Linked DNA regions of Mus musculus. The protein of the gene in region 4 purifies or fractionates together with the protein of the main gene of each other region. This does not show direct contact. Links are inferred from orthologs where the notes say so. Each region holds a gene or a part of one and is shown on either strand. Other genes may lie near its edges.

Evidence for each region. Proteins that work in one complex are often made in the same cells at the same time.
Region 1: the proteins of Rpp14 (region 4) and Pop5 purify together in Homo sapiens (co-immunoprecipitation; 3 studies listed by BioGRID and IntAct, with this or other methods). This does not show direct contact. The link is inferred for Mus musculus from reciprocal best matches to the Homo sapiens genes RPP14 and POP5.
Region 2: the proteins of Rpp14 (region 4) and Pop4 purify together in Homo sapiens (affinity purification with mass spectrometry; 3 studies listed by BioGRID and IntAct, counting the BioPlex papers as one, with this or other methods). This does not show direct contact. The link is inferred for Mus musculus from reciprocal best matches to the Homo sapiens genes RPP14 and POP4.
Region 3: the proteins of Rpp14 (region 4) and Rpp40 purify together in Homo sapiens (co-immunoprecipitation; 3 studies listed by BioGRID and IntAct, with this or other methods). This does not show direct contact. The link is inferred for Mus musculus from reciprocal best matches to the Homo sapiens genes RPP14 and RPP40.

The regions. Positions count from the first base shown.
Region 1 is NC_000071.6:115,238,743-115,241,655, forward strand, and holds the end of Pop5 (ribonuclease P/MRP protein subunit POP5), read left to right. Parts: intron 1-1,419; coding exon 1,420-1,569; intron 1,570-1,730; coding exon 1,731-1,814; intron 1,815-1,896; coding exon 1,897-2,009; 3' UTR 2,010-2,230; downstream 2,231-2,913. UniProt on the Homo sapiens protein: Component of ribonuclease P, a protein complex that generates mature tRNA molecules by cleaving their 5'-ends. Also a component of the MRP ribonuclease complex, which cleaves pre-rRNA sequences.
Region 2 is NC_000073.6:38,265,152-38,268,456, reverse strand, and holds part of Pop4 (ribonuclease P protein subunit p29), read left to right. Parts: intron 1-861; coding exon 862-1,088; intron 1,089-2,252; coding exon 2,253-2,330; intron 2,331-2,495; coding exon 2,496-2,557; intron 2,558-3,305. UniProt on the Homo sapiens protein: Component of ribonuclease P, a ribonucleoprotein complex that generates mature tRNA molecules by cleaving their 5'-ends.
Region 3 is NC_000079.6:35,899,665-35,903,455, reverse strand, and holds part of Rpp40 (ribonuclease P protein subunit p40), read left to right. Parts: intron 1-1,347; coding exon 1,348-1,443; intron 1,444-2,024; coding exon 2,025-2,150; intron 2,151-3,791. UniProt on the Homo sapiens protein: Component of ribonuclease P, a ribonucleoprotein complex that generates mature tRNA molecules by cleaving their 5'-ends. Also a component of the MRP ribonuclease complex, which cleaves pre-rRNA sequences.
Region 4 is NC_000080.6:8,083,064-8,086,854, forward strand, and holds part of Rpp14 (ribonuclease P protein subunit p14), read left to right. Parts: intron 1-644; 5' UTR 645-660; coding exon 661-731; exon of another isoform or gene 732-744; intron 745-853; coding exon 854-938; intron 939-3,791. UniProt on the Homo sapiens protein: Component of ribonuclease P, a ribonucleoprotein complex that generates mature tRNA molecules by cleaving their 5'-ends.

The DNA of each region.
Region 1 (2,913 bases), on a different chromosome or scaffold from region 4:
GCAAGCACACTTGAACTATGCAGAATCAAACATACATAAAACCACAAAGTTTTCTTGCTTTCGCTGAGCTCTACAGGAAAACAGGCGTTTCCCCGGCAAGGATTTTTTTTCCCCCTGCAGCGTTAATGTTAATTACGGTGGAGCTGGGCTCTCTCTCCATTCATTGACCTGAGTGGTCAGCGACTTCTTGAGGGCGGAAGGTTTCCCTTAACGTTTCCTTTCAAGCTGGGTGCTGCGGCCCATGCTTTTATCCTAGCAGTCCCCAGGGAGCAAAGGCAGGTTCCAGGCCAGCCAGGAAGTCCTAACTGGACTGTCTAAAAGCAGACAAAAACAAAACAAAAAAGCCACTTTCAAGAATGTTAGGTGGAGATGGAGAGAGGGCTCAGCGGTCTTTGGGAGAGGAAAGATTCCTATCTGAAATAGTCTGAAACTCCAGTTCCAGAGGACAACACCAGGCACAAATGTGTAAATACATGCAAGCAAAACAGCACACGATTACAAATCTTTAGTGTGGTGCATTGCCACACCACCTCTAGTAAGGATCTGTGTGACAAATTCCACAGGCTGAGGCGTTTGATCTCAAAAAGGGGAGACCTCCTGGAACAGGCTGTGGAACTCTTCACAGGAGAAAAATTATTGAGTCGTAGATCTTTTGGCTACTTATCAGTTTTATGTTTTCTATTCCTTTTCCTGTATATGAGGTGTTCCTGATAGCCTAGGTCAAGATCTTAAGCGAGTATTATGACTACAAAACCATCCCTTGAGATGGAGTCACTAAACATGACCTCATCTCCAGGAAAGACAGCACTTCTCTTTATAAATCATGTGTAAGATAGTATTAATAAATATAAACTTTCCCAACAATATTTTATATGGCTGCACCTGCGTCATCAGAAATAGGTTTTGGTATCTTGTTTAAGAAAGTATTATATAGGAAAAATTAAAACAGTTTAAAGAGCTACAGAACAGGGAACTGATCATAAAAATTCATTGGCATGTTTTTGGGAATTTGCCCCAGCCTCAGATGACTTTCGTATGTTTTACTGAGAACACCTTTCTTTGAAGTTGTGACTTGGATGATTTTGTATTTGATGTACCAGGTGGTTGTTATGTCTGTCCTATTTTGCTGTTTCACTGAACACAACTTTTCCGAGCTGAGCTGTAACACCTATTTCTCTAAGTATAAAAACCCTTGACGGAGAGCTGCAAAATACACGCAGATTCAGACTGCCTCTGTTTGTTTATCACCACCGAATCCTTAGCCACCTGACCTCGAGAACCCACATCCCAGGGACCCCTATCCCGGCTGGGGTGGTCCATGCCAGCACATCCTCCCATGTGACGTTTGCCTACGATAGGGTTTTTCTGTATAATTCTGTGAATTTTAATTTCTTTCCCAATTTCCCCTTCCTCCTGTAGTCCGATACCTCAATGCCTACACTGGAGTCGTGCTACTGCGATGCCGGAAGGATTTCTACCAGCTCGTGTGGTCAGCTCTTCCTTTCATCACCTATTTGGAGAACAAAGGCCACCGTTACCCGTGCTTCTTCAACACATTACACGTGGGAGGTACGGGTGGTGTGGATGGTGGCTGTTGTTCAGAGCAGTTGCCAGGTGGGTGGGTCTTGCTTCTATCCACTGAGAACAAGATGTTCCTCCCACCACCCACCCCCTGGAAGACGGTAACCGTTTCACAAGCCATTGTCCACAAAAGCTCTTTCATGTGCCAGGTACCATCAGAACCTGTCAGAAGTTCCTGATCCAGTACAACAGGAGACAGCTGCTGATCTTGTTGCAGAATTGCACTGACGAAGGTAAGCAATGCCAGGCCAGCGTAAGCAGGGACTGAGGCTCAGCGGGGAGGACGATGCCCTAGGACATCTTCCTTTGCTGTAGGAGAGCGGGAAGCCATCAAGAAGTCTGTCTCAAGAAGCTGTCTGCTGGACAGAGAGCCCGTTGAAGAGCTTTCAGACAGTGCTGGTGAGGAGGTTGCAGAAGCAATGGAGTGACCGTTTCCAGGCCCACTTGTGGGAACAGGACATTACAGGAGGTGACAGCAGCATCCCACAGTTCTCCAATGGAAATGACTGATAACCAGCACTCAGGTGACCAGCTTGAAGTGGAGGGCTTGCTGCCTTACCTTGCATCCATGGTTGTGAAGGCTCTGTGCAGACATTTCGGATGTAACTGCTTAGCTCAGGGGTGGAATAAACATTCCTAAACCATAAAATGTGCACTTGCCTTGAATGTGCTCCCCGTGTGGTTCGAGATGAGTTTTAAATGTTCCTAGACCCTTAATATAAGAACACATGTAAATCTGGGCTTGGTGGCATACCTCTGCAATCTTAACACCAGGTAGACAGACCGGCATATCTCTAGAGTTTGAGGCCAGCCAAGGTTCCACAGAGTGTTACAGGTGAGGTGGGTTCAAGCAGAAACACTGGTGAATAACCCCCAGCTATACTTACATAATCTAGCTCAGCACTGTGTCCTAGGACTGCAAATAGCAGGGGATCTCCAGTTTACCATGGCTCAGGTGCCTTTCAGCAGGCCCCAGTGAGGCATGAGTGTACTCCTGGCCTTGGGAGGCGGGCTGCTGTGAATAAGAAGCTCCCATATAGCTAAAGGCTGTGGTCCCAGCTGGAAGGATTGGGAGGTGCAGCCTTGTTGAAAGTGTCCCGGGTAGCTCTCTCTGCCTCCTGCCTGTCAGATGGTTTACAACTGACTCTGTCGCCTTTAAACAACGGGCACTTAAACAAGTTGGGCTCAGCTTCCAGCTCCTACACGGAGGCTCACAATCAAATGTAGAGTGACTCCAGTTGCAGGGGCCAACAGACAGGCATGCAAACACCCTTTCGGAGGCCTTTAAGAAAAAGGGGCTGTGAAAGGGCCAAACCTCTCTTGGTAAGAAGG
Region 2 (3,305 bases), on a different chromosome or scaffold from region 4:
AATTTTTAATTCCCAGTGAAAGAGAGACCACATGTATATTTAAAAGAACCAAACTGTCGTCATATCAATGATGGATTGTTTAGCCATCCCTACCTTCAAGTACCTTGAAGGTTGTGTATTCTGTATTTTCACTCCCTTGCTTTACCATAGAGAGGGTAGAAGTCAGCATTCATACGTTAACCTAAAGCTGGCAGTTAGCCCAGACTTGGCCTTACTGTGCAGTTAGTGCAAAAAAGAGCCCAGCCAATGGCCCGGGGAAGAGGTTGGTCCTCAGGTAACAGGGTTTCAGGTGATGAAGGCCAAGTGAGGTACCTGTTGCCCAGTGAGGAATAGACTGTTGCTGCCCTAACTCCAGAGGAAAAGCGATTAAAGAGGACTGTGAAGCTCACTGTCAGAATGCCCCCTCAAAGGACGTGACTTTCCTGGAAACCACAGGCAGTTTCCCCTAGTGCTAGACTGGCTCGTTTTCCTAAGAACCCCAGCTCCCTTCCCCTTTAAGCTGGCCTTGTAGTCATGACTGATTAACCTCTATCATCCATGTCTCAAACTTCCTTCCCCACAAGGATTAGAGAAGTACTAAATTACAAAAAGTTTTGAATCCTCAGTAGAGGATCCTCAAGAAGCAGGACAGGAAGTCATTGTTTGACCTGGCTGCAGTGTGGGACACTGTCACAATTAGTGTATGAGTGTTTCTTTTACATCTTGGCAGTTGTGCGTAGCAAACACTTGGCAAGAGATTTGTGAGCCTCAGTGGATAGAGAGATGGATCAGCAAAGATAGTGGCTTTCTGGAACAGGGTATGAGGGCCCTGGGGTCTGTGGGCACAAGAACCGTGAACAACACCACTATGTCTCCGAGCAGGAGCTGGGAAGCCAGCGGGCTGAGGCCTTTGTGCGGGCCTTCCTGAAGCAGAGCATACCTCACATGAGCCAAGAAGACTGTGAGAGCCATCTGCAGCGCAAGGCCGTGATCTTGGAATATTTCACTCGCCTAAAGCCAAGGCCAAGGCCAAAGAAGAAATCCAAAGGCCTCTCTGCCAAACAGAGGAGAGACATGCGGCTCTTTGACATTAAACCAGAGCAACAGAGGTATGCCCATCTTTCCTAATGGTCTTACCATCCAACCTTGCCTTGTCATCTTTGTCAGGGTTCAAGGACTGGGGGGGGGGGGGGCCTCACTGGACATCCCTACATACTCATGCTCAGGTACTTCTTGCCACAAGAGGGCAGCCTCCCCCTTCCAATTTCCTTGTGCCTGTGCTTGGCCTCTGAGGGGCAGGCATTGGTGAGACTGAGGGTTCTCATCACTTAGCTTCTGTCCTAGCCTCACTAATAATAAGTGAGTCTGTTTTCCATGGCAACAGGCTGTTTGCTTTCAGCTTTCTAGAAAAGAGGAACTGATATGCCTTAATGTGTACTTTCCTGTAGCTTTGAACATAACTAGACAGTATCACCCACTCAGAGGTTACTGCCAAGGAACGGTCCCACCTACTCATTTCAGACATTTCTGAAAGGAATACATCACTGTCTTGTGGGAGGATGTCTTTCTTGATATAGTTCTGAGTTTGTGTTTGCAGTTACTGTTTACTGGCTTTGTATAATGCACTTTAGCCACATATCTTTCTATGTCCCAGATGGCATGACAGTGTCACTTTGCCAAGGATCTGCCTCTCTGGGTTCCTTGAAGGAAGTGCTTGTTTCTGATTTGAGCCATTGTTCTTGACTGCCTAACCCTGTGCACCAAGACATATGATAATCACCCCAGAGGAAAGCTTCCGGGCTCTACTCTCGCCTTCTACACAGTCCTGTCACCTTACAGAAGGGATTGCTCCTCCCAAGGACTATTAAGTTTAACCTCCTGGAAGTGTGGGCTAAGAAGACTAATGTTCCTTTGCTCATTTGTCTTGGGAAAAGGAATGTGGATGAACAGCACCTGGGTCATTATGGCTGATGGTGCATCGCCACCTTCAGCTGGGGGTCTGAGCCAGGGGCTCCACCATCGTATGTCTGGCCAGGAGGGTGGGCATCTAGGTGAAGGACCACCTTTTTGAGAGCAGATATTTAGCCTTGAAGAGGTTCTACCAGGGAAGAAATTGAGTTCGAGTAGCAGGTTGGGGAGTTACTTGGCACTTTGGAGAGCCTTGGCCTCCCACACAGTCTCCGGTGCTCCCTTACGCTCATCCTCAGCCTGGAGCCCAGCTCTGTGTGCTGCGCGCTGTAAACGCCGAGCTCATGCTTCTGGCTTCTTTACAGATACAGCCTGTTCCTCCCTCTCCATGAACTCTGGAAACAGTACATCCGGGACCTGTGCAATGGGCTCAAGCCGGACACGTGAGTTTTAGTTCTGAAGCCGTGGAAGCCATGGGAGCAGATGCCAAGCCTGGAGAGCATTAGAGATGCTCTGAGAAACCAGCAGGCTGTGGGGTTGTGTTTGTGTTTGCAGTTACTGTTACTGGCTTGTTACCGACTCTTCTCTGTGGGCTCTTCACCTCCTAGGCAGCCACAGATGATTCAGGCCAAGCTCCTAAAGGCAGATCTTCATGGTGCTATTATTTCAGGTAATTTCTATGAATGCATATAGTCATCTGGAGATTGTTACTCAGTGTAAGTGAAGTGTGTGTCACAGCATTCAGCCTGTCATCTGTCACTTGGCATCCCTGAACTATCTCCAAGTCACAAGCAGTGAGGATCTGAGATAGTTGTGATCTAACCCATCCTGGTTCCTTGTTAAACACACACTAAGTGCTCTCTTGGTGCCATCTGCTCACACTGTTGGAATCGAGGCTCTAGCCGATTCTCTTGGGCCCAGATTCCCTCCCATCATGGTTTCCAAGGGGTCACCGCCAGTGCAGACTTTTCCCACGACTCCTTCACCCCATGACACCCAAAGCTGCCTGGATGGACATCCAAGAGCTACCTCAGATTAGCTATCCAACACCAAGCCGTTGGTCCCCTGAGGTCAGCTGTCTCTGATCTGCTTGCCTCATCTCCTAGAATAGCACAGCTTGTCCAGGCTAGAAACTAGGAAGTACATACAAATTACCTCTTTCCCCAATCCTCTACCTCAAGGACATTAACACACCTAGCTCCCAAATCTGACCCACTCCCTCAAGGTGCTGCGACTACTTTCTCTGGCCTCCCCACACCCTGCCCAGGTCACATACTGTTTTATTCCCACATACACTACAAGGTTAAATACCCAGAATGAAGGCTGCAGTCAGACTTCAGACTGCTGTTTACGTTACCCGTTCTAGGCCTCTAGCAGCTTCGGTGTCCTTTGGCCACTTTGTAGCTTGCACACCAGTT
Region 3 (3,791 bases), on a different chromosome or scaffold from region 4:
GACATAACATGAGGATAAAACACCCATATACATAAAAATAATAAAATAATAATTTTTTTGTTTTTGTTTTTTTTCGTGACAGGGTTTCTCTGTATAGCCCTGGCTGTCCTGGAACTCACTTTATAGACCAGGCTGGCCTAGAACTCAGAAATCCGCCTGCCTCTGCCTCCCGAGTGCTGGGATTAAAGGCTTGCGCCACCACGCCCGGCAAATAATAGTTTTTTAAAAGTCAAGTCATACAGCTCTAAACAGTAAAATGAAGCCTATCTTTGTGTTCCTTCTTAGATGGAACCATTTGATGTTTATCTTTCAAGAATTTATAAGCATACATTTTTTTGGTTTGTTTTTGTTTTTGAGACAAGGTATCTCTATGTAACCTTGGCTGTCCTAGAATTCACTCTGTAGACCAGGCTGGCCTTAAACTAAAAGATTCACCTGCCTCTGCCTCATGAGTGCTTGGATTAAAGACGTGTTTTACCAGCACCAGTAAGCATCAAATGTTTAACATTGGTTATATGACATTGTTTCTCAGTAGTCTTATTTTCCAAGGGGTATAACATAGACATGTTCCTGCTTCAGTGCAGATGGTTGTGACTTAGAACTTTTTGTTTTGTTTTGAGATAGGATCTTGCCATGTAGACCAGGTTGGCCTCAGATTATCATTTCTCTTGCCTCAGCTCTCCAAGTGCAAGGATTACACACATGAACCAGCACATCTCTGCCTGGCTTTAACATAGAGCTTTTAAATGTTTTGATGATATTTGAAGTAGGGGCTGGAGAGATGGCTCAGCAGCTAAGAGTGATTCCTGTCATTGCTAAGGATCCAAATTCAGTTCCCAGCAGCCACATGGCAGCTCACGACTCAAGTTCTAGGAGATCCGACATCCTCTTCTGACATTCACAGGCTCCTTGGTGTACTTACAAGCAGGCATACAAATACATATTTAAATTAAACTAAATTAAAATTTAAAGACAGTATTTGAAGTTATACAGACCACAGTTTGATCATTCTTTCCTTCATACAAATTTAATTGTTTCTAGTTTTGCTATTGTAATATGTATATATGTATATATGGTAGATAATACCACAAGCCTGGTGGCTCACACCTGCATCCTGGTATTTGGAAGGTTGAAGCAGGATAATTGCCACCAGTTTGAGCCCAGCCTCAACTACAGAGCAAAGTTCCAGACCAGTTGGGTACATTGCTAGATAATATCAGTGTGCTATAGACAAGTTCTTTGTGTATTCTTATCCCCGACATTTCACTGCTCAGATGTCTAGCTTTCTTAGAGAACACCAGCCATATTTTAACATCTCTCTTAGAAGAACTATTGTTTGATTTGTAGGGAAATTAATTTTATCACTAGATAAAGATACTTACGAAGAAACCGGACTTCAAGGTCGTCCATCTCGGTATTCTGGCAGAAAAAGTATGAAGTTTGGTAAGTATTACATGCGTTCCACTGGAGCCTAGCAAGTCAGTTTTCTTGTAACAAAACGTGAATGCCTTCCCTCTGATCTCTAATCGGAAAAATATGGTTCTTATCTTTGAAATCCTGACTCAAGGAGCTATTGGTTGCACTTCCTGGGGGATTAGATTAGTTGGTGCTGTTAAATTGTTCCTCTTTGGCTGTACACCACATTTTATAAGGGCTGGAGAACTGGACTACCCCTTGTATGCAGTGAAGAGGAACAACTTGATGTGCTTCGTACACAGATTCTTTGTGATTAGCAGTGGAAATTCACAAGTGAAGAGTTGGTTTTGAGGAAACTCTCTGGTGTGGACATCAATAACTAAGGCTAGCACAGACACAGGTACCTGATCTATGATCTAGGAAGGGCTTAAAGAATTTAAACCAACTATAGCTAGCAGCTCTCAACACTAGAAATAGCCCGCTGAGGGATATGTTTTTGATGAACACAATCTGTACAACTTACCAACTTACCAAAACTTTAGACATTTCTCTACAGTGTAAGCTCTGTATAATTCGAATGAAACAAGTATTCCTCTTTCTACTTTAAGTCATTTCCATTGACCTAATGGATTTATCCCTTAACCTGGATTCTAAGAAGTACAGAAGAATATCTTGGTCCTTCAAAGAGAAGAAGCCTTTGAAGTTTGATTTCCTTTTGGCTTGGCATCCTACAGGTATGAAGTGTGAATTATATGATGATACAGTGAGTTGAGGATCTGTTGGGCATAACGGAGGATCGAGTGGTGATATACTGCTGTGGTAGGGGATATTGCTTACGTAGGTGTGTGGGTATTGTGACAGAGCTGCTCTAGCTTTCCAGATGTCCTCAGCGCCTCAGCTCAGGGTAGGTTTTAAAGCAATCTGCCCCAATTTTCTTGGGTGTTCCTGCAGATCTAGAAAGCTTCACAGTGGTTTCAGAATAGCTAACGTGTAGTCTACCCCTTCTTCCTCTCTGCTTACATTAAAGAGCCTTTGCTAGAATAATTTTAAATCAGCATCAATTATAATTATATGTGTGTGATCTTTATCATTATTACAGGATAGTAACCCAGGAAGACTATTAAATGTCAGACAGCATTTGTTATGACTTTTAATTGATTGTAATACTAAATTTAGCGCCAGCTTATATGTTCATCAAGTATATTAATTTGCTTAGAACTTCCACGTGTATTGCTCCTTTTAGAAGTATCTCTTTGGCCCATTACAAGATTGTAATGAACCAGACCATTGGGAATTACGGTGGTGTGGTATGTCCTGTGGAGGAGAGGGAAACAAAGCACGTTTTGGAACTCTGCATCTATCTCCTCCTGGGAAGTTCCTCAACACATCAGCCCAAGAGAGCTTCTCTCTGTCCAGACGTTATAATGCTCGATGCCTCTCCTCCTCCTGCGTACAGCACATATGCAAGAGAGGAAGATGTTTTCTGATGTTTCTGTAACTTCTCCAAGGACTGTTCATGCAGTGGGTTTTGTTGTTGTGTTCTTTAAGATTTATTTATTTAATGTATGTGAGTACACTGTCACTGTCTTCAGACACACCAGTAGAGGGCATCAGATCTCACTACAGATGGTTGTGAGCCACCATGTGGTTTCTGGGAATTGAATTCAGGACCTCTGGAAGAGCAGTCCAGTCCTCTTTAACCACTGAGCCATCTCTCCAGCCCTTTGTAGCTTTTTATTCCTAGCCTACTAATTACTACCAGAGAAACTAAGGATGCTCCTGAGATTTTACACTCTCTATGAGCCCGCAAAGTCAGCACAGGTGTCATGGGTGCAAGTCCTGGCTCAAAAAAATAAAGGATTTGATTCCTCACAGTGGTAGCTGTTGACAAGTCAGGAAGCCCTGGTGGCAAGCGGATATTGTTACTCTCAGGACTCAAAGGCCTAAGAACCTGGAGCCTGGTACCTAGGAGCAGGAGAAGCCAGGCAGCTCAGCTCCAGGAGACAGAGTGATTTCACCTCCACTCGGCCTTCTTGTTCTCTCTGGGCCCCAGTTGGAATGACCTGCATGTCCACCCACCCTAAGAGTGGGACTTCCCTACTCGGTCCATGAACTCACATGCCAGTCTCCTTTTGAAACACCCTCACAGACACACCTAGAAATGAGCTTTACAACTAATCCAATCTGACACCTAGAATAAAGTAACAAATAGGAGAATCAGCATTCGAACAAGGTCACCAAATCTCAGTTGGCATAGAGTGTCATAGAGTTGGTACGTGTGCCATGGGTTATATTACAGAACAGGAGGGTAGAGCCCTAGAAACCCAGTCCTTTTATAGTGGGAGTAAGCCTTCCTGCTCGGCCCACAAATGGTG
Region 4 (3,791 bases):
CTCCTTTTTCCAGCTGTCATCTGAGAGTGCTTGGCATTAGGTCTGACTTAGAGAGGTTCTTGAAATGTTCCATAACAGTGTGACTTGGGTAAGAAGTGGAGAGCCAATGGCAAGACATTGCATAACAAACATCTGCAGAACAAGTGTGAGAAAGCCTCCCTGAAGGAGGAGACATTGAAATGGGAATGAGAGCTATGGGGGATGGGGGTGGAGGTGGGGGGTGGGGAGCAAGGTCTGAGTGGCCTCAAGGAAAAGAGATTTTCTAAGGGGGATCAGTACTTGAGAGTCCAGATCTGTTTGAAATGGCATTGAGTGTGGAATGCCCTGTACACACCCATAATCCCAGCAGGAAAATCAAGAAAAAGGCCAGCCTGGGCTATGTAGCTGGGTCCCCCCAACCCCCATTATTACTTGAAAAGAGCAATAGTATTGCTGCCTGTGTTGTGTATCTTCTGTTGCCAGTAAGAACACCACAGACTAAGTCATTATAAACAGCTACGCTTTGGCTTATACTTCAGGTCCAAGGCTAAGGGGCGACATATAGTTATAGGCTTCTTGCTTATAGAGTCCCAACATAGAAAATGCAATACTACTGTGAGTAACACTGTATATCCTGATGGTTACGAGCTCTCTGACTCCTGTAGGTGTCCATGTTGGAAGATGCCAGCGACTGCATATGAAAGAGTAGTTTACAAGAGCCCCTCAGAGTATCACTACATGAAAGTCTGTCTGTAAGTCCCTCTTGTGAGTTCTGTTTTATATAACCTCTTTTTGTTTGATTGTTTCCTGTTTTGTGAATTTGAAAAGCATGGCATTTAATGTGATATTTTCTCTTCTTAATACTTTTTTACAGAGAGTTTCAAGAACATGGGGTTGGACTGAACGTGGCACAGTTCAAACAGCTGCTCGTCTCAGCCCTGAGAGACCTGTTTGGGGAGGTATGGAATAGCTCGGCAGATTAACATTCTTAAGGTTTTGGTACAGAATTTTAGAAAAGGGACTGAGCGTATAACTCACTGGGGGAATCATGGCCTACCTTGGGCCTAGTTGTACCTGTTACAAAAAACAAAAGAACTTGTTTGTTTATTTGTTTGAGGCAGGGCCTCTGTATGACTCAGGTTGTCTGGAATGTGCTCTGTAAACCAGACTAACATCAAATCCCAGAGCCACCTGCCTCTGCCTCCAAAGCCCTGGGATTAGAGGCTCGCAACATCATTCCCAGTTTAGAAAGAGCAGCTTGTAAGAAATATATATATATATGTGTGTGTGTGTGTGTGTGTGTGTGTGTGTGTGTATGTATGTATTTAATGTTGTACTAGAAATTGTCTAGAAGCTGGCTTTCAGAAATAATGAATTCTGTAGGTTATACTAGTGTATCCTGTATTTGACAAGAAATCTATCAGACACCAGCTTGGTCTCAAACAGTGCTATCAGTTATCGTCTGGACGGTAACCAGGAGACATCATTGCCGTCTTTGAAAAGGCAAAGGGCTTACATGAGCACTAGCATGCTTCAGTGCGAGGGACAGCGGGATGTTCTGAGTTCGGTCCCTGGAAGCCACATGGTAGAAGGAGAGAAGCAGCTCTCAGGACTTTCTTCTCCCCTCGACACACTTGCAGTGGCACAGGCACACATACATATGTATGTGGGCAAACAGACCTCCATAGGTGTGACGCGACACACATACATGTGGGGAAGACACGCACATAAATAAACCTTAAAGCAATAGAAAGGTCTAAGAGTGTGAGCAGAAGCAGCTGTGCTCTGTGATGCTGGCTGACATTTCCACGTGCTCTCAGCCTGTCACAGCCCAGCACCTGGAGCAGCTCGCTCTGAGCGTTCGCCTAACAGAAGAGGAACTTTGGAAACGGAGGGGAAGAACACAGATAGGGTTGACTGTCAGGAGCTGACTTACTCTGTTCAAGTTTTCCATGTACCTTATCAGAGAAATTCTGCAAAGACTGTAAGAAGATGGAAAGATGAGATTTAGGCTAGAGAAAATATTTGAAAACTGTATGTCTGACAAAGAAGTATTATCTAGGGTATTAGAAAGAATTCTCAGAACCCAGTAGTGTCGGGTATAATGATTTACACCTGTAATCAATCACAGCACTAGATAGGTTGAAGTTGGATGATCAAGGTTATGTGTAGCAAGACCCCATCACACACTAAGGAGTCCAATCATAAGAAAACAAACAGTCCAAATAAAATAGGCTGAAACTTTCACAGACATTTCACTAGAGAGTGTGTATAATTGGCAAAAAAAAAACCCCACACACATGAAAATATTAGATACTAGGGTAGTGTGTACCAGCTGCCACATTAAAGTAAGTATGTACCTACCATACGATTCAGCAATAGCACTCTTGGGTATTTACACCAGAAAACTGAAATTTACGTTAGCATGAGAGCCTATACCGTGGACAGGTGAGATGGTTTAGCAGGCAAAGGGGTTGCCGTCACGCCTGATGACCTAAATGTGATCCCTGTAACCCAGACGGTGGAAGAAAAGAACTGCCTTCTTCAAGCTGTCCTCTGACTTCCATCCGCACATCAGGGCACATACTCATGCTCACAATAAGTAAATATAATAAAAAAAATAATTTAAAGCAAAAATCTACACTTGGCCCCGAGAGGTCCCAGCAGTTGCAGAGCACCTGGGTTCGGTTCCTAATACCCACATAGGGATACATAACTATCTTGTAGCTCTACTTGTATAGGATCTGTTCTCTTCTTCTGGCTTCCTCAGGCACCAGGCATGCACACGGTACACAGATACACATGTAGGCAAAAGGCTGTGTACATAAAAATAAATCTTGAAAGGAAAAAAAAGGAATCCTGCACACCAGTGTTTGTGATAGTCTTATAATAACCAGAAGCTGAACACATCACATTTGTTCTTTAATGGATGGATTGTTCAGTGATTGTAGCTTCATATCATGGAATATAATCAGAGAAAAGAACAATGCTAGACAGAGCTCTAGAAAATTCGGCTAAATGGAAAAAGCCAACCGTAAATACGTTACTTACTGGGTAATTTCTATGTATATAATGTTCTTCCTACAACGTAACCTGTAGAAAGAAGTGGTTGCCAGGGTTACGGATGGGAAATGGAGTGGGTATAAGTAATAAAGGGCCGATAGAAGAGTCTTGTGATGGCCCAGGTTTTTATCTTAGTGGTGGTGGTAGTTATAAGAAGTTGCCTGTGTGGAAGCATACACATAAATACATCTGCGTACACATAATGTCTGAGCTGAATAAATCCAGTTGTATCAACACCAGTTCTACAGGTTACGTTATAGGCAGAGCATTATATACGTAGAATTACTCAGTAAGTAACGTATCTAGAGTTGGCTTTTTCCATTTAGCTTAATTTTCTAGAGCTTTGTTCTTTTCTAGCATTGTTCTTTTCTCTGATTATATTCCATGATATGAAGCTACAATCACTGAACAATCCATCCATTAAAGAACAAATGTGATGTGTTCAGCTTCTGGTTATTATGAGGCTTTGATCACGCACAGCAGTTACATAAGATGCTGGTTTATGGGGACGCTGAGGGAAGAGTGTGTGTACTTTCCTATAGAGTGCAACAAATTAAAAAATAAAACCTGAAATTAGTATGTCATAGGAAAATGTGGTTTCAGGAGCTAGAGTTTAGTAAGATATGGTTTCTCTCCGTTGGGCTGTCTTGTTAAATGGTGACAAGGAGGGGAGATGTATAGATGAGCAGAGTATAGAATCGGGCATAAGGAAGAACTCAGTAAGTAGATTGATCTTGTGATCTTATAAA